Linked DNA regions of Daphnia pulex. The protein of the gene in region 1 purifies or fractionates together with the protein of each later gene. This does not show direct contact. Links are inferred from orthologs where the notes say so. Each region holds a gene or a part of one and is shown in the gene's direction. Other genes may lie near its edges. The genes, in order: G2/mitotic-specific cyclin-B-like, anaphase-promoting complex subunit 4-like, protein patched-like, cell division cycle protein 27 homolog and membrane-associated tyrosine- and threonine-specific cdc2-inhibitory kinase-like.

Region 1 (3,922 bases):
TAGTTCAAGCCTCGTTAGCAGTTTTTACAGATCATTCCACACACTGCCCCGCATATTACCAATTTGTTCAATCTCAATATTTCACTTCTTTCTTCTGATGCGATTCGGTGCTAGGCTATTTAAACAGGACAAATAATATTGAAAAATCAAAACATTAAATAAGAACAAGAAACGAGAAAGAAATCGGAATGCAGGTAGTAAAGATTCCAGTAAGTTTATTCACACTGCGGATGGAACGAATAATTTACGCCTTTTTTTTTTTTTAAAATTTCTTTCAGATCAATGCACCAGAAATTCAAGACAATAATCTCATTTGAGAGAAATTTGGAATTCATAAAATTCGCTCGCGGGACGAAGAATATACAGAGACACAATCCATCAGATATAGACGAAAAAGAAAGACAACCTATACTCGCAGTTCGCTGATTGCTTCAGTAGCTGATGATACCTCTTGTTCAGAACGTGGAAATCATTAAAATCCCATTGCGATATTCGGCCCACAGCGTGTAAAATGCTGTACGTTGCGTTCGTATTCGACAGACATGACGGGGTCTATATTGTTGATGTGATTGATAACTTGCGCTAGGCTCTTGCGAACCGGCCAATATTTTTTTAAAAAATAATTTAAATTTCTGTCGATATAAGAAGGTCACTCAACGGTTCAAATCTGTCTGAAATGTTTATTTTTATTTTATTTTCGCCCAAATAAAAAAAAAAAATCTTTCTTTGTTCCGCAATCAAAGCTTCCAGTTCCAGAGAACAATGAACTCGTAAAATAGAAACAGGCTCTTCGATAGAATTGTGAGTCCACTTTGTTCTGTCATGATATCTAATATGCAATATTACTGTGCCCTGGTGAGCAGCCAGAGCAACTGAGCAACTTTTTACTAACAAATTAGCTGTTACATAATAAATTAATGGAAAATAATCTGACAATTAGCATATTAAGGCTGATTGAATGTTGCTTGCAAAATCGAAATATTAGCTACCAGTCTGCCATTAGTCCAGCACAAACATTCCATAATTCACAAATAGAAAAATTATTTTCAACAGTCTGAAAATAATGCGTGCCATTGAGAAGTAACTTTTAAAAATGTATTCAGCACAAAGTTTCAAGTACGCAAGTTAAAAAATATCACATCGTTCACATTTTTAATTAAATAATGAAAAGAAAACCTATTTTCCAAAAGCGTAAACATATATCACATTTTCTCAAATGTCAACGCTGTACTACGGCAACACAGCATTTTTGAATTGAATTTTAAAATCCGTATTGTTTTCAAATGCCGCCATTGTGTCACATCGTAGTTCTCAACCCCCCGACAAATTCCTTTCAGTCCTCCCTGTCAAGTTTACCTGCTTCCAAGTTTTTTCAAGTAGAATCATTCGCAGTTGTATCCTCTGAAAGGTAAGGTCTCTTGCTTAAGTATTTAAACCGTCGTAATGAAGATTACTTTCCATCTCCATAACTTTGTCACGTAGTGTTGTAACTTATAACGTAACGTCTGTGTATTTTGGGCTTAGATTTATAGTTACATCATTCGATTTCATCTCGTGGCGTACTCCTTGTAAGACTGCTGATTGCCCGATGAGTTTTACGAATCGACGTGGATTTTATCAAATTATCAGTCAAGCCATTGAAATAGTGTAACATCATGTCTGTGACACAAGTATTCCCCTCTGCTATATCGGTAACTATCAGTGTTGTGAATTATCTGCTAAAAATTCTACATGTATGTTTAATGGGATGGCAGGTCCATGATGAAGGTGAAAATATTGCTATGCCAAGAGGCAAGAGCAGTCTGGCACCAAGTGGGAATTTTAATGTATCAGCAATTAAGCAGAGGGCTGTTCTGGGAGACATTTGCAGCAACAGATCGGCTCTTACAAATGTCGTCTCTGAAGTTGATTTTAAGAAACCTCAACATGTGCCTTCCAAATCTGTTGCAAAGAAGCAAATTCAAGAAATAGAGAAGTAAATTATTGACTGTCTATGTGTGTCCTAAATCTTAAATCAAATTTTCTCTAGTTTACCTCTTCCATCTGAAAAAGAAGTTGTCAAGCCTGCTGTAGAGGCTCAGAGACGATCATCATTTTCTTCTCAGAATTTGGAATTTGACGATATTGACACTGAAACTAATCCCCAGCTAGTTGCTGTCTATGTCAAGGACATCTACAAGTATCTGAATGAGTTGGAGGTACTTTTTTCTTTTACATTTATTTCTAAGTGTTTTACTAATATAATGTTAATGTAGGAGAAGACTGTCATCAAGTCCAATTACATGGAAATTGGTTACAAGATCAAGCCACACATGCGTACAATTTTGATTGACTGGCTGGTGGAAGTGCATATTCGTTTCAAACTGCTCCAGGAAACATTGTACTTGACTGTGGCTACCATGGATCGTTTTCTTCAAGTGAGTTGCATTGTTGTTACATTATTTCCAATTAGTGTATTTTATTTTTCTCTCAAGGTTGAGCCTTCTGTTGTGCGACATGATCTACAGCTTGTTGGCCTTACTTCCATGTTCATCGCTTCGAAATTCGAGGAGATGTACACTCCAGAGATTGACGATTTCGTTTTCATGTCGGACAAGGCCTACACCAAGAAGGAAGTTCTGCGCATGGAGTTGCGTATCCTGAAGGCATTGGACTTCAATCTTGGTCGCCCTCTTCCTCTTCATTTCTTGCGACGATACACTAAAGCTGCTACACACGTCTATGACTGGGTAAGTCGCATCGTATTTTTCGCCTCGTCGATTCACCCGATTACAATTTTGCTCTGTGAAACGATTAGGTGGACGTTCTCCATCACACTTTGTCGAAGTATTTGATGGAATTGTCGCTGCCAGAATACGAGTTCTGCCATGTTATGCCATCACAACTTGCTGCAGCCTCGTTGTGCTTGTCTCTCAAGTAAGTTTTTGTGCATATGTGTACCGCATTGCATGTTTCATGTATTGTTGTTTTACATTCAGAATTCTTGACGAACATGAAAACCCTATTGATGTTTTATGGAACGACACATTAATTTATTATTCTGGATACACTTACGAAGCTCTGGAGCCGATTGTTGAGAAATTTTGTTCTTTGATTATCAAATCAGAAACAAGCAAGCATCAGGTGAGTTGTTTATAATGTGCTGTGATGTATATTTGTTAATTGTTAAAATTTTTCGTAGGCTATTCGGAGAAAGTATCGTGTCTCGAAATTTTACCAAATCAGCGCCCTTCCACATCTCAGGTCTCCAGCTACTCATGCCTTCTTGGCCAAGATGGCGCTGAAAAACTCGAATATTTAACCCATGTTTCTTATCCTAATGATGGTTGCTAATTTTAAACGGCACTTTTTTTTCCTTTTCAAGTCATTGACCGTGACTTTGTGTTTTATTTCAAAATTATCTCGAACGTTCATGTATTTTTAATTCTCTTGCATTTGCGAAATTCTTCTCGGCTTCCACATGATATCCTAACAATTCGTATGGGTTTAGAGGCTTGTATACCGTAATACATAGATAAAAGAAATATATATTTTGCGTAACCAAAAAATGTCTACGTTTGTTTCTTTCTCTGAATTCTATCTGGGCTTTTTTTCAGTAAAAACGTGAACACTTGTAGGCTTATCCCCTGGATGTCTAGACTAGCGGAAAGAAAAGTATAGGTATGTTCAAGTTTGATGTAGAGCGCAGGACAACATCGAGTTTTCTTACGAATTTGGGGCGTTTCGTGGAAAAAGAACATGGATTTTGAACATGCAATCTCAGTTCTTTGGCATTGTAAATTATCACCGTAAATGAGTGCGTTGACTTTTGCGCTAGTGGCTAATGCGGATATGCTAAATATAATTGCATACAACACTACATACACATGAAAGTGAAAGAAAGGCTACGATATCCTACAGCACTATTTGCGATTTTAGAGTA
Region 2 (4,027 bases), on another chromosome or scaffold:
ATACAAACGGTCATGTCAAATAACGGAAAAATCACTGCCAGACTAAAAATAGGAACTAGTAAAGACAACAAATCCGAATCGCCTAAAAAAAAGAATGTTGGAATAATATTCAATCTCTGTTGAATATAGGATGAAGCTTGCTTGTTGGCTAGGCACGGATGAACTCTCCTTTCTCCTATTATTTCGAGTCTATATCGACGGTGGTTGCTATGCATTACCCCGCCGTTCGCAGTGTCCCCCCGGAGTCACCTCAAACCGACCAGAACGTTGGTGGTCCCGCTAGACTGCTGCATTGAATACAAATAAGATCCAACTCCATAATCGTGCCTTTTTTTCCAGTCTCTAGAGTCCAACGAATAACGAGCACTGATACGCATAATCCACAATCATTGAACTGTGTGAACAGGAGAACGTCAGCAAGCAAAAGAAAGTAGTTGTGTGGAAATCGAAGTTCTTGTTGCTCCTCATCCTCTTCAGGAGCACTATATAGGCTAGGTACTGGTACAATATACATTTAGAGAAGATGATTTTTCTTATTTGGATATCGACTTTTTCTTTCTCCCATCTGACTACGTGTTTTTTTTTATTTCGTTTACAAGTTGCTACGAAAACACAATCGTCTAGACGTAAAAGCACAAATTCGCTGATAACGAATAAATAATGAATCAATGTTGTGCCACTCCGAAGGAGCAGAAGTGTTCCCCCCGCGCGTGAGAGCTTCTGCACATTGCACGAAATGGGAGACCCCGTCAACGCCCACACGTTTTCCTAAGGCTAAGTGCGGTAAAATATTAGGCAACTGCTACTGTATATAGCAGCATGACGTTTTATTATTATCAACGACCGGCGACAAGACAAGCAGAAAACAGAGCAAACTCTCATGAAGGTAAATAATCGTGTCGCAAAGGGAGTTCGTTATTTTCCGATCGATTTCTTTAGCACCCGCGAACGCACGGGAGCGATGCTTCGCTTAATCCTCGATGCCTAAGAATAGCGCTCATTTTTTACGTGGTGAGGTTATCAACTGGGTTTCTGTTTGGCCAAGAGATTATCCTATTTGCCAGAAACCCGAATTCAATTTCGCATCCATTTACGGATAGACGAGCTTATGCTTGTTGAAAAGATGCGGCGGCAAATGCCTTAAAAAAATAAATTTGGGGAGACATTCTATCACACTGTGTGGCTATTTATTCAGTTAACGAACTACAGCCATGGACGTCAAGAGCCATGCGATACAATTGGCCTCCAGTGGTGACTGAAATAAAAAGCGAATAACGTTGAACACTTGAAGGTAACACGTAATAAAAAGGTAGAATTCAAATCTGAATGTTTCCAGGCAGTTTAAAAATCGACCGCTAGATGTACTCAAGTTGCCTAGAGAAGAAACCGAAAAAAAGTTCGAAAAGTTGTAAATACATGTTCCTTAATTTCTGTCTAATCGAGATTGTCGTGTAAAAACACAATCAGCTTAAAATGGTGTCGTGTATGATGAGACAGAGTGACGAAAAACACATTCTTGGAACTGCGTCAACAGAAATCCTTTTGTGGTCTTCCAGACGAGATCTGATTGCCGTCTCAAACAGCTCTGGTGAAAACTTGCAATCCTTCTTTTTCCCATTGTGTTACTATGATAATAAAATTTGTTTTGTATGTTATTTTCTTGTAGGTGAGGTTTTTCTGAGAAGGTTGTCATGGAGCAAAGTTTGGAAGCTTTCTAAAAGAGGTGATGGTGTCAAAGTCACAGCGATCGTTTGGAGACCAGACAGTGTGATACTAGCTGTAGGATACAGTTCTGGGCATGTGGTTCTAGTTGACGTTGAATCTGGAGAAGTAGTACACACATTCAACCCATGTGAGGAACCCATCACAGCTCTTTCCTGGGAAAACTGCAGCACAAGTGTGAAAGAAGAGGCAGACAATTTTTTGCTGCCAGAACTGCTGCCTCAACCATTGAAAGTTAACTCTTCAAAGCTAGATGCTGGGTCAGCACTTGATGGCGACAAAGGATTGAAACATGAAGAATTACTGAGCATTTTGTGGATTGGACTAAAGAATGGGTTAGTTTACGGATTCGCCTTTGGACTCTTTCCTTGCTGCCTTCTAAAACTTTCAGAAATGAGTGGTGGGAGCGATTCAATCGGACCTGTACGAAGTGTTTTCCCGAATGGTGATCACAGCCAACTGTGTTTACTAGCCGATGTTCGTGCCGGATCCTCAGAAGTTTTACTCATGACTGTGGAAACCCCACTCATAACTCATTGTTTGAAAGAGTTGTACGGTCTAGGATTTCTCTATCGGCAGATAACTGGCCTCATGGACTGCCTAATCAGTGCTCAGAAAGCTCTACAAGAAGCCTGGGAGGATGCACTAGTCGACCTCGAATCGAAAATGGTTCGCTATGAAAGCAACGACGGCAAGAGTAGCTTATCTGTCGACTTGATGGAGCTCCTGATGTTTGGCCACGCCGGGATCAAGCTGGAGAAATTTCTTGTTACCGATTTGACTGACAAAGGATTGAAACGAATCGGCCAAGCCGTAGAGTTATCCTATAGCAACATGCAGAAACTGCTCATCAAACACATCGTGTGTGCCAACTACCAACTGTCGCACTATTTGACACAACTTTGCGGGCTGGCCAAACAAGAAGATCGTTTCTCATGCCTCGGCCTCCAAGTCAATTCGTGTTTAGCTGCATACCGGGCGGCCGGCTCTTTTACCGCCAAAACCGCTGAGCTTCAACAGGTGATCGATGGTTCTGTCAAGTACCTCAAGACATTCTTCCGCTGGCTTTACGTTACCATCTTGCGCCTCTCGGACGAGCCTATCCCACCCGAGCTTGCCACCAGTACCCAGCAAGATGTACGGTTTATCGCCAACTTCCTCGCCAAAGATTTTGAGACCGATGGACAAGTACGTCTGGATCGTATTGGGCAATATTTGAGGAATGAGCCGTTGACTTTTGTTGCCAGCTCTAAAACTAGACCCTGGGACATGTTGATAGAAGCTTGTCCATCTATTGCGAATCTTCAGGACTCGGACTTATTTCAACCCCGTGCTGAACGCTCTCTTGCTCAAGAGTTCGCCCATTTGGAACATCAGGTCAAAGCCAGTTTCGAAGCTATCCCTTCAGCTGTTGGACAGACTGCGTCGTTGCCGTTTATCACCGACCTGACGTTAGATTGTCCTTCGGACAGTCTGGACAAGATCAGAATCACAACACGATCCATCAACCAACCAAAAGATCGGTGTAATCTTCTTGGCTTGACAAATTCGACCACTCATTCTTCAGGATTTTACCTGTTTGAATTCGCCTCCGAGAAGGAACGTAAGAACTTGACTCGAGCAGCATTCTTCTCCTTTGGCAAGTGCGACCATCTACCTCCTGGCGAATATAAAATAGCTGATCTGCAGTTCTATAACAACGAGATTATGTCAGTTTTGCTTTCGATCGAACGCAGCACGAATAGCATCTTCGTACAACTCAGTCTATGTCTGTTACGCGAACATTTGGCTCCCGTTGTGTCACGGCGAGGACCTTTTAACTCGTCCTTCCATTCAGACGTTTTCGTTTCATCAGTTCTCAGCCAAGGCAATCTTCGATCAGTGGATGTCAATACCTTTATTGAAGCAAGCTCGTTTCGTGTCTTAAACGACTTTCAGGCTACTACCCTCGGTCTATCGTCCAGTCGAAAGGTTGCCGCTATCTTTTCTTCGTCAAAAAGGAAGGTTCGCATATTTGACATGGAAGTTGAAGAGGAAGAAGACGTCGAAGACGAGGATCAGGACATTGAGGATGTTTCAGACTTATCGCACGGTACGTAAAAGTGAAAACCTGGTTAACTTTCAAATTGTTTATTATTAACAAGGTATGTTAATGGAATGGCATTTTTATCGCAGATATATCAAAAGATGGAGGAAATCAAAAGGATATCAGCGACGTGGATATGGCCGTCTCTCCCTGATGGACTATTAGGACCAAACATCTTGCTGACAGTTCATCAGATGAAATCGTCCATGTGTTCGTGAT
Region 3 (3,942 bases), on another chromosome or scaffold:
CAAAGTTCGTTGGCAATTAAAGTTTTGGCCTGGGCCGTAATTGCCCAGGCACATCCGCCACCAGATTACACTAACAGCGCCACTCTCTTTTTTCTTTCTTTTCTTCCACACCATCTTTTCTTTTTTAAAATAAAAAACTCTTCTTTCTTTCTTTCTTTTTTACCTGTGTGACTATAACCGTAAAAGAACGCGGGCACGAGAAACTGACAAGAGAATAGAGTCATTAAAATAATGACTTCTTTTCTCAGGGATGCAGTGCAGCACACAAGTTGGGCTGTGCAGACGAAAAACATTGGAAAACGGTTGGTTCGTTGGTTCGTCGTGATCGAAATAAATCTCCACCAACATTTGACTTTTTCTCTAAAGAAATGATGTGTGTGTGTGTGTGTGGTAGAAATTTTTTCGTCTACGTGAGCAAAGTTGTTGGAATTAAAAAGAGGAAGTTGTGCATGTGTGTGTGTATATATACAAGAAGAAGAAGAAGAAAAAAAGGTTTTTGGGGTTCTTGGCCGTCGTGTGGGGTCCAGGGCTTTTGTGTATTGCCCGTGGGTTTGGTGTTCTGCGTGTTGCCCAGGCAACGGCTAAGACCACCCCCACAAGTCCGAACTACAGTGTGTACGCTATACACACTCGCGCCCCCTTTCACTGGGAAAATGTTTTGTCTCTTTTAGATGGTGGATGGAACTTTTTAAAAAAGAAATAGAAAAACGAAGGTCCAATGAATGGAATCCGAGTCGGATCCGCTGCTGCTGCCATTTTTCAAAGTCTTGGGTTTCAAATTTCCCCACTTGGAGAACTCTGTCCCGAATATTCAATTACACATTGAACGATTGCTGAGCCGATTAGACCAAAAGTCATTCCTCCGTTTATAACTATTAATCGCATCTTTTCCAACATTTCAAAACGAAATTTTCCTTTTTAAAAAAAATATACTTGAAAAAGAAGAAAATGGCGCGCTGTAGTTTGTCGATCCGCCACGTGGTGGTTGACGCGGTGGGCGGGCGACCCGAAAAATTTCCTTAGCCTGCGGGTATCCCCAGCCAAACTCGAAAAAGAAGGAGGGACACTGGGTGGTGGTAGCGGGGGGGGGGGGGAGGAGGTCTAGCGGGGCGTGCGTGTACTAAGCTAGCGGCCATCTCTCCTCGAGTTTTCAGTCGACAAGCAGGAAGCTACAAGAAGAGTCGTGTGTCTCTTTCTCTGAAACACACACACACAAACCGAGTGTGAAATATCTATATTTTTTTCTTCCAAAGTGTGTGTGAATTTGAAGAAATTTAGTGTGTGAACGAAACAAGAATTTTCAAGTCCCCAACCAAAAGAAACTCGAAAGAACGACGACATTTTCTGGTTTCTATCACCAACACGGATTAACCAAAAAGACGACGACGACGGATGGTGTTCGTCCCCTAACAATTTCTTCCACAGTGTGTTGTTGTGCCGTTAGAATCAGCCATTTCTTTTCTATTTTCCTCCCCCTAGAAATTTGTTCGGTGTGTCACGAAATTTCGCCCCATGGTTGTGTGTTGTTTAGCCCGTCATGAAACGAGGCCATGTTAGGCTGCTGGTCGGTTGCGACCGCTGCTGGTGATCATCATCGTCAAAGTTGTTGTTGTTGTTGTTGTTGTTCAGTGCCGCAGCCGCCGAGTGTGTTTCCGTTGAAATCGCCCGACGTGTCGGGAGACGAGGAATTGCTTGCAGACGAAAACGAATCATCACGAACGGCGCTGTAGTAGTGTCATGGCCATAACGATGCACTCGCACGCCGCAATGGAGAAATCGAATGGCGGATGCTCGAAAACTTCTTCACTGACACCTCAAGACGCTTACGCGGCACTCTGCACCAGCAGCAGCGTCGATTCCGACTTGTTGACCAGGACGAGCTGGACAGATGCCCGGCTCGCCCTTCATCAAATCAAAAAGGTGCGTCTTTATAAAACATCTTCTTCTTCTTCTTGTGAATAAACAATTGCATAAGATAATTTATGCTGCGTGTAAGTACGAAAAAAACACAGAGAAAAAGTCTGTGGTGGCTATGCCAAGGTGAGGTGTATATTTTCGGGTGGATGGTATAGACCGTCGGTATATAGGGGGCTCTGGCATCGCCCGACGGAATGAAGACATCAACAACAACGGGGGCCCCTGCTGCAACAACCGACTGTGTACTACCAACCAAGAGAGAGAAAGAGAAACAGTTGAGGCCAAGCCATCGCTCAAGGGCGTAGGCCCCAACACAAAAACCCATCAGCCACTCTCTTTCCTTTACCTCTCCTTTTTTAACTTGTTTTTCCTCCTTTCCACAACCATTCGCTGCTGCCCAACTGATTCAAGGGGGCTGCGCTGGAAGGATATAAAAACATTCCGGAATCTCATAGATTTTTATTTTTGTTCGTTTCTGACGTCTCTATTTTCTTTTATTTATTTATTTTTCCAATAGGGTAAAGCATCAGGCAACAAAGCGGCGCTGTGGTTAAGGACGAAACTTCAGTGGCATCTCTTCCACCTGGGCCGATTCGTCCAACGGCACGCGGGCAAAGTCCTTTTCGTTGGACTCCTCGTCCTGTCCACCTTCTGCGTCGGCCTCAAATCCGCCAGCATTCAAACGGACGTCGAGAAACTCTGGGTCGAAGGTAATACAACACTTTTGATCCCTTCAAAATAGGATCTCCCCCTCCTCATCCATTGATGCGTTGTTGGGCTCTCCATCCGCTTCTTCTTTTTCTCCGGCATTGCCAACACATACACAGAGAGAGAGACCGGAAAAAGAACTTGGCTGGAACACCCGAAAATAGACGGCCCTTGTTTGAGAGAGAGAGAGGGTGTTTTATGTTCCCCTTTGCCCCAAATCCGCCCGCATCGGATGATTCTCTTTCACGATTGGTGGCCATTACCAGGTCCGCTATTTACTATAGAACCCCTCTTCTTCTTCTTCTTTTTGTTATTTCTCCTCTGGAATGTTTAGCACCTACCCAACAATCAACAGCAAGACGAGGTCTCTATCCATTCTAGATGGCCAGGGGAGAGAACATGTCTTCATTAGGGCGGCAGCCTCCAGCTGGATTTGATTCCCCTGGACCGTATCTTTAATGAACTCTCTGCAGGTCGCGGTATTTCCCCCCCCCCCTTCTCACAAGAGAATCGTGTTATTTGCCAAGCCAAACCTGCACACATGTTCACATGGGAAATTTTTCATCCTTCTGTCAAAAAAAAAAAAAAAGGAAAATGTAGTTGTTGTTCGGGGGGTTCCATATGGTCCTGTCGTTTCCCCCCTCTCCGAAATCAGACACCCCCCTTCCACCCCTTGAAGAAGAAAAGTTATTTTCCAAAGTAAAAATTAAAAAACAGCTGCTAGGTTCTTTTGGCGGCCTTTTGTGAAGAACATACCTGATCACGCAGGTTTTTTCTTCTTCTCTTATTTTTGGCTGATGATGACGTACGGCCAAATTGTCACCCGAGGAAGAAAAAAAGAAACAACATTGGAGAGAGAGAAGTTATAAAATTCTTGTTTGGACCACCCAACGGAAGGGAACGAAGGTACAGCACACCCAAAGTTGGGCACAAGAGGAAGAAAAGACAGCGGGGTGGAGAGAGAATTTACGAGCTAGAAAAGAATGTTTTTTTTTTTTTTTTTACTTCTTCTTCTCTTTCTTTTCCTTCCCCCCTTTCTTCTTTGGTCCATTGTATCCAGCCAGCGTACCTGAAAACTTTTCTTCTTCTTTTCATTTGTGCGTGTGTGTTACTCTTGTAGAGCGAGAAGAGAGGCTATCGGTCGTCCCTTTTCTCAATTGACCCGTCAAACTCGTTACAATAGGAAAAGATTTTTTCTCTCTCTCCTATTCTTTTCCTTATTCTTTTCTGACCTCCATCTTCTTTTTTTCTCTCTATTATTCCATCACTTCCGACGATTGCGTCTCCCCATTTGAATTTTGGAAATCCAGCGATCAG
Region 4 (4,199 bases), on another chromosome or scaffold:
CTCCAAACTTAAAATAATTGTTTTGTCTACTTACTCGATACTTGTCCTGTTTCCTAGCGTTTCGTGCTTTATAATTTGTCGATCACCGACAGTTTGTTTCATACTCATTTGAATTACTGGTTCAGGTTCCAGCAGTACAGGCTCATTAGTGGACAAATTACAATCATCAGGAGTCGAGTTGTCGCTAACCTGTTCTAAACGTCGTTTACGCATCCATTGGTTTTTATATACATCCAAAGGCCTGCCACAATATCGTACCTACATCATTTAAAAATCTGAACTAAATTTACTGAACTTGATAACGAGAATTTAAACATATTTTATGCTTACTGATGACCAACCACAACCATATTTCTGTTCGGGATTAACAATTTTTTTGCAGCGCAAGGCCCACGCCGAGGGTGAACTAAAGACTTCTTGAACTTCAGCAGAAAAAATTTTTCCATCTGCCAGTAAGTCCCCATTAAATTTTTGTCCCTAAATAAATTCACATAGGGAATAGAAGTTTTAAACTTGGAAGATAAGAAATCTAAAAGAAATATCGTATAATGTTTACCATGTACTCTAGTGACATAGCACCTTCTTTTGGTTGAAGGATGTTATCTTCAAGTAACATTTGCAATGTGACTCCTCTACCAGTAAATCCACCAGCAGTTTTGGACTTTTTCTCATTCAGTTCTTCATCTTCATTGCCATCCATGTTATCCTGTAATTTTTGTCATAAAATTGTTATTCATTGGAATTTTAATAGCACAAAGTATTATTAATTAATTACCTCTCCTTCCATTTCAGGATCTAATGTTGCATTGTGGGTTTCAGACATGTTACATTGCTCATTTGTGTGTTCAACACTAACTGATGTGATCTTTTGTTGTTCTTGAGGATCTGCTTGATCACTAATACTTGAGTCTTCTGATGCTTCAATCATGCTTATGCCCTGTATTAAGAACACAGCTTTAATATTGCTAAACAAAAGGTTTACAACTAAAAAGAATTAAATTTGAAAAATATTTGTTTATTTGAAGTAGATTAATTGAAAAAAGGACTATTAGAAGAACTAAAAAACACTTAACTAAAAATTCATATTTTAGAATTACGCGCCTTTTTTATTAATTGTTATTAAAAAAACGTCTGATTTACCTATTCCAGTACCATAATTACAATTACAACCACGTTATTTCGAACAATCTAGGCCAAATGACAGTAGTTAATACATTGCAACACTTAAATTTACCTGAATAAATAACTTGTTGACAATTTCGAAAGCAAATTGTCCAAGTGCGGTTTAATAATAAGATTGATAAAACTGACCGTTGAAATGTCAAAAAATGTCAAAACTGAAGCATCACGATTTGAATCAATTCATCGAATATCGTAGATTGATCGATACTTAGTGAAGGCGATACAGCGATACTCGAAACGGTTTGGTTAAAAAGAGGAAGGGGCAAAAAAAACTTTGTGTTACATTAAAACGTAAGCTCCGACGGCAATTTGGTGGAATTATTTTGACTTAAATTGATTTCCGTCCATGGGAATTCAAACTTGATTGTATATCTTCATAGATTTCATATGTTAACTCATTACTAGTCAACATGTTGGTACAAGAACCTGTCCAGGTTAGTAACATGTTAATCAATGATGTTTAGTGATCTAAAAATTGCATATATTTAGGGTGTACAATGAAGGGGGTTTCTTTGTATGCCAGTTTTTGGTTCATTTTCAATAATGGTTAAATTTTTCTAAAATGCAGGCGGCTATCTGGCATTGTCTTAATCACTACAACTATTGGAATGCTACTTTTCTTGCTGAGAAACTTCAGGATGAAAGTATTATGTGTATACTTAATTTGTAAAGGTTATTTTTCCATAAATCTTATGTTTCTTTCAGTTAATAATGAGGAAAGCTTGTATCTTCTGGCCACTTGCTACTATCGGTCAGGAAAAGCGAATCAAGCAAGAAGTTTACTGCAATCAAAAGGAACTCAGTCGCCACAATGTCAATATCTGTTAGCCAAATGTTGTTTAGATCTGAATAAGTATGTGGTTATTCTCATTGAAAATAATTAAAATCTAAAGAATGTGTTTTTTTTTAGGCTTGCTGAAGCAGAAGGAACATTGATGGGTGGAAATATTTTCAAACAAAAATCTTTGGATGATGTTGTGACTGAATTTGGAGATGCTGCTGCTTTTGCCCTAGTTTTGTTGGGTCAAGTTTACATGCAGACAGAACGAAAGTTCAAAGCTATAGAAGTACTCAACAGAGCTCTTAAGCTTAATCCATTCCTGTGGGCTGCTTTTGAGCTTCTTTGTCGGCTTGGTGAAAAACCAGATGCAGAAGATGTCTTTCAGTTAGAGGGATTGGATAATTTCTCTCATTGTCATGGAACAAACCCAATAGCTTCATTGATCACTGCTCAGATCAATCAATCACATGATGCAACCACTAAAGTACATCCTCATGAACCAATGTCTGTTGACCAAATCTCCACTCCTATACTTCAAGTCCCTGCAGCTGATGTTATAGTAAACACAAGGTAAACATGGCATATTATTTAAAACACAAATTATTTTGAGATTTAATCACCATTTCTTTACACAACTTGTGTATTTTACTATATTTCTAGCACTCCCCTACCATGTGTGCCTCTTATTCATCACAATATACCTAATTTGACACCAGATGATCAAATGATTCCCTCTATACCGTTGACGAGTACCATGGCTCCAACACGTTCCAGAGCACGGTCGTTCCGGCTTCGATCAGTCTTTAAAGCCGGTCAAGCGCTGTCTCCCATGTCCCCCAAGTATAATTTAAGTTTCCATTCACTTGATGACACTTTATTTAATTTACGTAATTTAGTTTTGGCATCATACCTTTGGATATGTCTTCAGCAAGCGATGCTTCTCAAAGTTCGATGGTCTATTTGTGTCCCTCGCTAGCCCCACCGGTCTCTGAAACAAAAGAAGCAAAGATAATGCCTAAACGGGTATGATTTTTTTCCTTTTAAACAAATAATATAGAGTGTTTCATAATCTCTCCAAATGCTTATGCTGTTTTTAGTTGGGTGGTCGTCGTGAAGCAGCTAGCACTGCTCCAAGCGCGCCTTCACGTATGGGAGTTTTCTGCCAATCCGGAAATACAGCTACACCGACATTGTCTTCACCCCCAGCCGCTAACGTGAGGAGAAGTACACGACTTTACAGGTTTCAGTAACATTTGTGTATATATAAATTCGTATATTATTAATTAACGTATTCTATTTTGATCACAGTTCGAACAATTCCGTTAAGGAGAATAACAAAAGTAGCTCTCGTTTTGTTGTGCCCAAGTTGCCACTGAAGCGTAGCAAATCCAAACTTACTAAAGGTGATACCCCGGAAAGCGGATTAGCACCTATTAGCGATTTTCCAGAGCTAGTAGGAAAAATGGATAGAGAGGATGAGAAACAAGCTACCCTACCTACTCATTTAACTTCGGTGCAGACTCCACCATCAAATTTGATTCAAGAGGCAGTCCAAATGCAAAAGCAGTCAGCTGAAGGACTTATGTCTCTTCTTCGGATTGTAGGCAAAGCATTTTCACACCTGACTTCATATGAGTCTCGTCAAGCGATTGACACAATAGAATGGCTCTCCGCACGCCACAAAAGATCAAGCTGGGTCCTCTCTCTTATGGCTAAAGCTTACTTTGAACTGGCAGACTACAAGCAAGCTACTAGGTTAGTTTTACTTTTATCTTGTGTAACAGTTTGACAGGAAATTGACAGATATTTTTTAATTATTAAGGTTGTTTCAAGAAGTGCGTGAAATGGAGCCATATCGCACTGATCTGATGGAGTATTATAGTACTGCTCTCTGGCATCTGCAGCAAGAAGTGTCACTCTCGGCATTAGCACAAGACATGCTGGAACAAGACAAAATGTCAGCTGCGACTTGGTGTTGTGCCGGAAATTGCTTGGATTTGCAGAAAGATCGCGAACAAGCTCTAAAGTTTTTCCAACGAGCAATCCAAGTTGATCCTAAATTTGCTTATGCATACACTCTTTTGGGTCATCAGTATCTTGCCCTCGAAGAAACGGAGAAAGCCATGGATTGCTTTAAAAATGCTGTGAGAGTTGATCCTATTCATTATAACGGATGGTAAACCTTCTTTAACAAAGCAGCATTAATTGATTTGTTCTAACTTTTTGTTTGTGAAAA
Region 5 (4,229 bases), on another chromosome or scaffold:
ATGGTCACCGGTGGCCGAGAGCTGGTTGCCTGCAATCACTTGCGCTGCATCGAATTTTTCATCGATTCACTTGTGCCCGGTTACAACTACGTCGGTTACGAATGCATTGACAACGACGCATTCCATCGAGTATTGATTCATCGAATTATATTACTAGCCTACTTTTAATTACTAAAAGTTTATTTGAACGAAGGGTGAGTGTACCTCGTGCGGAACCGACAACTTGAATTGCGCCAAATTCGGCATGGACGCCGCTCTCTATCCGATGCGTGATAGAACTTACGTGAATCTACTGTTCGACACCGACAAAGATGTCCATTACATCAGTAAGTTGATCTGAAATGGACAATAACCCTTGGACAAATGTTTAATTACTTTTGAATTCATTCTTAGAGTAGGCCTACCACTACGGCATTAAAGTCAACCTCGCTTATCCATCGTAAGCTGAAGCTTTCGTTTATGGCACAATGCGTATGTCTTTGTATGGAACGCTTGGACAGCTGATCGACGTTACCGTAGCCGAGTATAGATCTATTTCAGCTAAAGCTGCGCAATGTGCACATCCTAAAATGCTAATAATCATTTATTCCATAATTATAGCAAAAGCCACAAGTTTGTTCATGGGACAAACTCATTCTCTTTTTTCGTCGATTCTTTCAACGTGGGTAACATCCAACGCGTCGAGTTGTACTGGAAGTATGACGGCACTATTTTCAATACCTGTGGTCTGTTTTGCAACGACCACATCTACGTTAGAAGCGTCGAAATTTCTGAATTGAACAACTATCCAGAATCGTAAATCATTTACAAAAAAACACGATATCGATGTTCATTTTCAAAATTAATGTTGTTAAAAAAATATCTTTAGAAGTCGATTGGAACACACTTAAAAGTCGTGTGTCGTTGGTGCCGATTACGTCGACATGAAAGACAAGAGCTGGGCTGAATTCTACCCCACTGCCTGCGTCTAAATTTGGAGGGGGGGGGGGGCAATAAATAAAAATCACGAACGGATTCTTCGCCATGGCACTTAATGTTTTCAAGCATGATGATTTTCCCTTGACGAGAAAAAAAGTAACTTTTTTAAAGGTGCAACCTTTGTGTGTTTTCTGCGCAGTTATATAAATTAGCGATATCATAAGTAATATTGGTATCTATACTGTCCGACTTGCGTCATTTTCTTATCATCACTTGTAATATGCGTATGGCAAACCCGAACCAGTCAACACTTTTATCTTCTGTTAATTTTTATCTAGAGCTAAAATATGGAGGATTTCCCCTGAGCCATACTTGATGCTGCCCTGATTTTGATAAACACATTTACACACGTTTTTTTGAAAACACAAAAGTCTTAGTTCCACATTCGAACTGGAAATTTCTCTGATCATTTTTTTTAGATATTGCTTCAAATCTTTTCTACAGCTATACAGCGTCATTCGGTATTTATAAATTTTTCTAAAATTTCTACGATAACGACCCTTAATGCTCAATGATTTTTATATGACAAATGACAAATAACAGCTTTAAAATTATACCATTATTACGTGCAAGTGAGCACCATTTCCCTCACATCATTTGATTGAGAAGGTTAAGCTGAAAAAAAATTAATAGATTATATTAGAGCAATAAAATTTATGGGCTTCGAAAAATTTCTTGTTAATTTATTTGAGGAAAAGTGAAGAAACGCAACGTGGCAAAATCCGATTTTTTGTTTTTTTAAAGAGACGCCAAAAGTCTCACAACTACGGGCAGAAGCCTCATCTGTTTTACTAGCGCCATTTTTGATAATATTAACATTTTAACAAAATAAGTTAATCATCAAACAAGAATAGTCAGAAAGTAATGTTAATAATAATTTTGTTTATTATCAAATATTTATTTTGAAAGAATAAGAAGATAAATTCAATGTGAATTAACAAATATAATTTTGTCCGCGGCGCCATCTATGAGTCACAGTTAACACTTGCCGATGACGCTCCTTCAAAAACAACATCAGCCCGCCTGTTGCTTCTCGCTGAAAAAGTTTCTTTTCACAATATCCTTGTTTCTTGTTTTTTACTGAAAAAAGAATCACATGCTGTTATCGTGGTGAATTTTTCAGGATTCTTAATCTGCTGTTAAACTTCCAAAAAAGTCCATGGATCACGTCTTGTGAGGTAACTTTCCCCAACAACCGGTTACGTTCAGAGGCTTGTTGGTTATTGTTACCTAAGTTCGTGTGAATATTTAACCATATTCATGTTGGTGAACTATTCTTGCATTGACACCTCTTATTCTCATCTTCATTTGGTTAATGGATTTTTCTTGTTTAACCTTTAGTGAATCCTTCTTAGTGCAACAATACCAAATAAGGACAAAGTGAAGCGTCTAACCCAATGTCCAAGCAGGTGCAATTTGGTATATTGTTATTCATTATTCCTTGTTTGAGATTAGAATACTGTTGTCAGCATTAACTTATCTTATCTATATATTTAGATGAAGTTCTAAACTTGCCTCCTCCCCCAATTACATCGAAAAGCAATTTTTTATCCTCAGACAAATGGACTCGAAATTTGTAACTCCGAGGCCTGTCCCCCAGTTCAATCTCATAAATACATTTTCCACAAAAAAGGTAACATTTTTAGCTCAAGTCCAGTTTTTTCTTTGAATTTTTGTAACACTTTTTGTCAAATTTTCAGGAAAGGACACTACCTGGCCATAAAAAACGGGCACCACCAACACCTACGCCGATTATTTCGGCCTATTATAGTTGCCCTGGCCCCCAAAAAGCTCACACAATCTCGTTCAAGTCAAAATCGGATTCTGCGCTGATTAGTAGCCCACATTACAATCTGTCGAAGGAAGACACGTTCTTTCGCCAATGTTTTGAAATCGAGGCCAACATCGGCTCTGGATCTTTCGGCGACGTGTTTCGTGTTCGCAGCAAAGAAGATGGTCGAATGTACGCCGTCAAGCGATCACGAGTGCCGTTTCGCGGGACTACAGATCGTAAAGAGAAGCTGGAGGAAGTTCGAAAAATGGAGTCCCTCCCTCACCACCCCAATTGCGTTCGTTTTTATCAGGCGTGGGAGGAGAACCAATTTCTCTATATTCAGCTTGAGCTTTGTCAGTCCAGTCTGAGTGAGATTTCTGAAGAGCAGCATGAGCTACCAGAGCACCTTATCTGGGACTACATGATTGACTTGCTCTTGGTATTTGAAAAATTCCTATCTGTTAAATCATTTTGACTGGCTCAATAATAGTTTTTCTATTTTCAATTTAGGCAATTCAACATTTGCATGACAATGACTTAATTCACATGGATGTTAAACCTGAGAATATTTTATTATCAATGGAAGGTGTTTGTAAGCTCGGGGATTTTGGGCTCGTTGTTAACCTCAAAGAAGTGAGTCTAATGAAAAACTTGACGTTGTAACAATAATTTTTATTTTTCCATTTCGTTTGACCAGAATCTGTTTGACGCCACCGAGGGAGATTCAAAGTACTTGGCTCCCGAAGTCCTGGGAGGAATTTTCTCTAAAAAAGCAGACATTTTCAGCCTGGGAATTACGCTGCTCGAACTGGCCTGTGATCTTGACCTGCCGGCCAACGGCACTTTGTGGCACGAACTGAGACATGGTTCTCTTCCTCCCACCATCACCAGACGTTAGTGACAACTATTCCATTTTCTCCAACTTCTTGCAAACTAACCCTTGGTTTCGTTTCTAGCAGACTTATCCAAAGATCTGAGTGCCGTGATGGAAATGATGATGAATCCAGACGCTTCTAACCGTCCGTCAGCCTCTCAACTTCTGGAGCATCCTTTGCTGCGTTCCAGAAGGCGATGGAGGTGCCTTAAACTGGGCTGGCAAAACGCCCGCCTTTCATTCCGCGCCAATTTGGTTGAGCTATTCTTCCGATTATTCCAGCTCTTTTTGCTCATCTTCTTGCCCATACGCGCTCTGGCGCGTAAATGGCGCAAACCGGACTTTGGCTCGAAGCCGTCCACGCCTGTCACACACCGGCCACAACCCTGCAACTTCGCCAACGACTTTTCGTTCTCTGACGGTAGTACTTGAATTGCCATCAATTTTGTCAACTTCTGTCTGATTGAATCAATTTTCTTTTTAGATGAAGTGAGTGATTTATCTTCTGCAGTAATTAGTGGAAATGACAGCACTCTTGGGCGTCCTCTTAATGACAGTTCACCTTTGCCACAAAACAATAGCATCGAACATAGGGCTGGTATG

The links.
Region 2: the proteins of G2/mitotic-specific cyclin-B-like (region 1) and anaphase-promoting complex subunit 4-like purify together in Homo sapiens (affinity purification with western blotting; 3 studies listed by BioGRID). This does not show direct contact. The link is inferred for Daphnia pulex from reciprocal best matches to the Homo sapiens genes CCNB1 and ANAPC4.
Region 3: the proteins of G2/mitotic-specific cyclin-B-like (region 1) and protein patched-like purify together in Homo sapiens (affinity purification with western blotting; 3 studies listed by BioGRID and IntAct, with this or other methods). This does not show direct contact. The link is inferred for Daphnia pulex from reciprocal best matches to the Homo sapiens genes CCNB1 and PTCH1.
Region 4: the proteins of G2/mitotic-specific cyclin-B-like (region 1) and cell division cycle protein 27 homolog purify together in Homo sapiens (affinity purification with western blotting; 6 studies listed by BioGRID, with this or other methods). This does not show direct contact. The link is inferred for Daphnia pulex from reciprocal best matches to the Homo sapiens genes CCNB1 and CDC27.
Region 5: the proteins of G2/mitotic-specific cyclin-B-like (region 1) and membrane-associated tyrosine- and threonine-specific cdc2-inhibitory kinase-like purify together in Homo sapiens (affinity purification with mass spectrometry; 5 studies listed by BioGRID and IntAct, with this or other methods). This does not show direct contact. The link is inferred for Daphnia pulex from reciprocal best matches to the Homo sapiens genes CCNB1 and PKMYT1.

What each region holds. Positions count from the first base shown.
Region 1 is NC_060017.1:7,280,058-7,283,979, reverse strand, and holds G2/mitotic-specific cyclin-B-like, read left to right. Parts: upstream 1-1,261; 5' UTR 1,262-1,408; intron 1,409-1,524; 5' UTR 1,525-1,655; coding exon 1,656-1,691; intron 1,692-1,754; coding exon 1,755-1,975; intron 1,976-2,029; coding exon 2,030-2,198; intron 2,199-2,255; coding exon 2,256-2,417; intron 2,418-2,474; coding exon 2,475-2,729; intron 2,730-2,797; coding exon 2,798-2,916; intron 2,917-2,978; coding exon 2,979-3,123; intron 3,124-3,181; coding exon 3,182-3,301; 3' UTR 3,302-3,418; downstream 3,419-3,922. UniProt on the Homo sapiens protein: Essential for the control of the cell cycle at the G2/M (mitosis) transition.
Region 2 is NC_060021.1:8,254,076-8,258,102, forward strand, and holds the start of anaphase-promoting complex subunit 4-like, read left to right. Parts: upstream 1-1,220; 5' UTR 1,221-1,473; coding exon 1,474-1,588; intron 1,589-1,666; coding exon 1,667-3,814; intron 3,815-3,836; exon of another isoform or gene 3,837-3,897; coding exon 3,898-3,962; 3' UTR 3,963-3,998; coding exon of another isoform or gene 3,999-4,027. Other genes in the region: condensin-2 complex subunit H2-like, read right to left, coding at 3,999-4,027. UniProt on the Homo sapiens protein: Component of the anaphase promoting complex/cyclosome (APC/C), a cell cycle-regulated E3 ubiquitin ligase that controls progression through mitosis and the G1 phase of the cell cycle.
Region 3 is NC_060018.1:5,081,382-5,085,323, forward strand, and holds the start of protein patched-like, read left to right. Parts: upstream 1-1,138; 5' UTR 1,139-1,737; coding exon 1,738-1,920; intron 1,921-2,434; coding exon 2,435-2,627; intron 2,628-3,942.
Region 4 is NC_060018.1:4,689,437-4,693,635, reverse strand, and holds the start of cell division cycle protein 27 homolog, read left to right. Parts: upstream 1-1,393; 5' UTR 1,394-1,592; coding exon 1,593-1,616; intron 1,617-1,750; coding exon 1,751-1,826; intron 1,827-1,887; coding exon 1,888-2,035; intron 2,036-2,092; coding exon 2,093-2,533; intron 2,534-2,623; coding exon 2,624-2,803; intron 2,804-2,859; coding exon 2,860-2,986; intron 2,987-3,060; coding exon 3,061-3,203; intron 3,204-3,271; coding exon 3,272-3,718; intron 3,719-3,785; coding exon 3,786-4,139; intron 4,140-4,199. Other genes in the region: MPN domain-containing protein-like, read right to left, coding at 35-258, 331-477, 557-706, 776-928. UniProt on the Homo sapiens protein: Component of the anaphase promoting complex/cyclosome (APC/C), a cell cycle-regulated E3 ubiquitin ligase that controls progression through mitosis and the G1 phase of the cell cycle.
Region 5 is NC_060028.1:2,255,463-2,259,691, reverse strand, and holds the start of membrane-associated tyrosine- and threonine-specific cdc2-inhibitory kinase-like, read left to right. Parts: upstream 1-1,422; 5' UTR 1,423-1,439; intron 1,440-1,531; exon of another isoform or gene 1,532-1,956; 5' UTR 1,957-2,156; exon of another isoform or gene 2,157-2,240; intron 2,241-2,319; 5' UTR 2,320-2,397; intron 2,398-2,475; 5' UTR 2,476-2,539; coding exon 2,540-2,611; intron 2,612-2,678; coding exon 2,679-3,191; intron 3,192-3,262; coding exon 3,263-3,385; intron 3,386-3,449; coding exon 3,450-3,645; intron 3,646-3,708; coding exon 3,709-4,047; intron 4,048-4,110; coding exon 4,111-4,224; intron 4,225-4,229. UniProt on the Homo sapiens protein: Acts as a negative regulator of entry into mitosis (G2 to M transition) by phosphorylation of the CDK1 kinase specifically when CDK1 is complexed to cyclins. Mediates phosphorylation of CDK1 predominantly on 'Thr-14'. Also involved in Golgi fragmentation.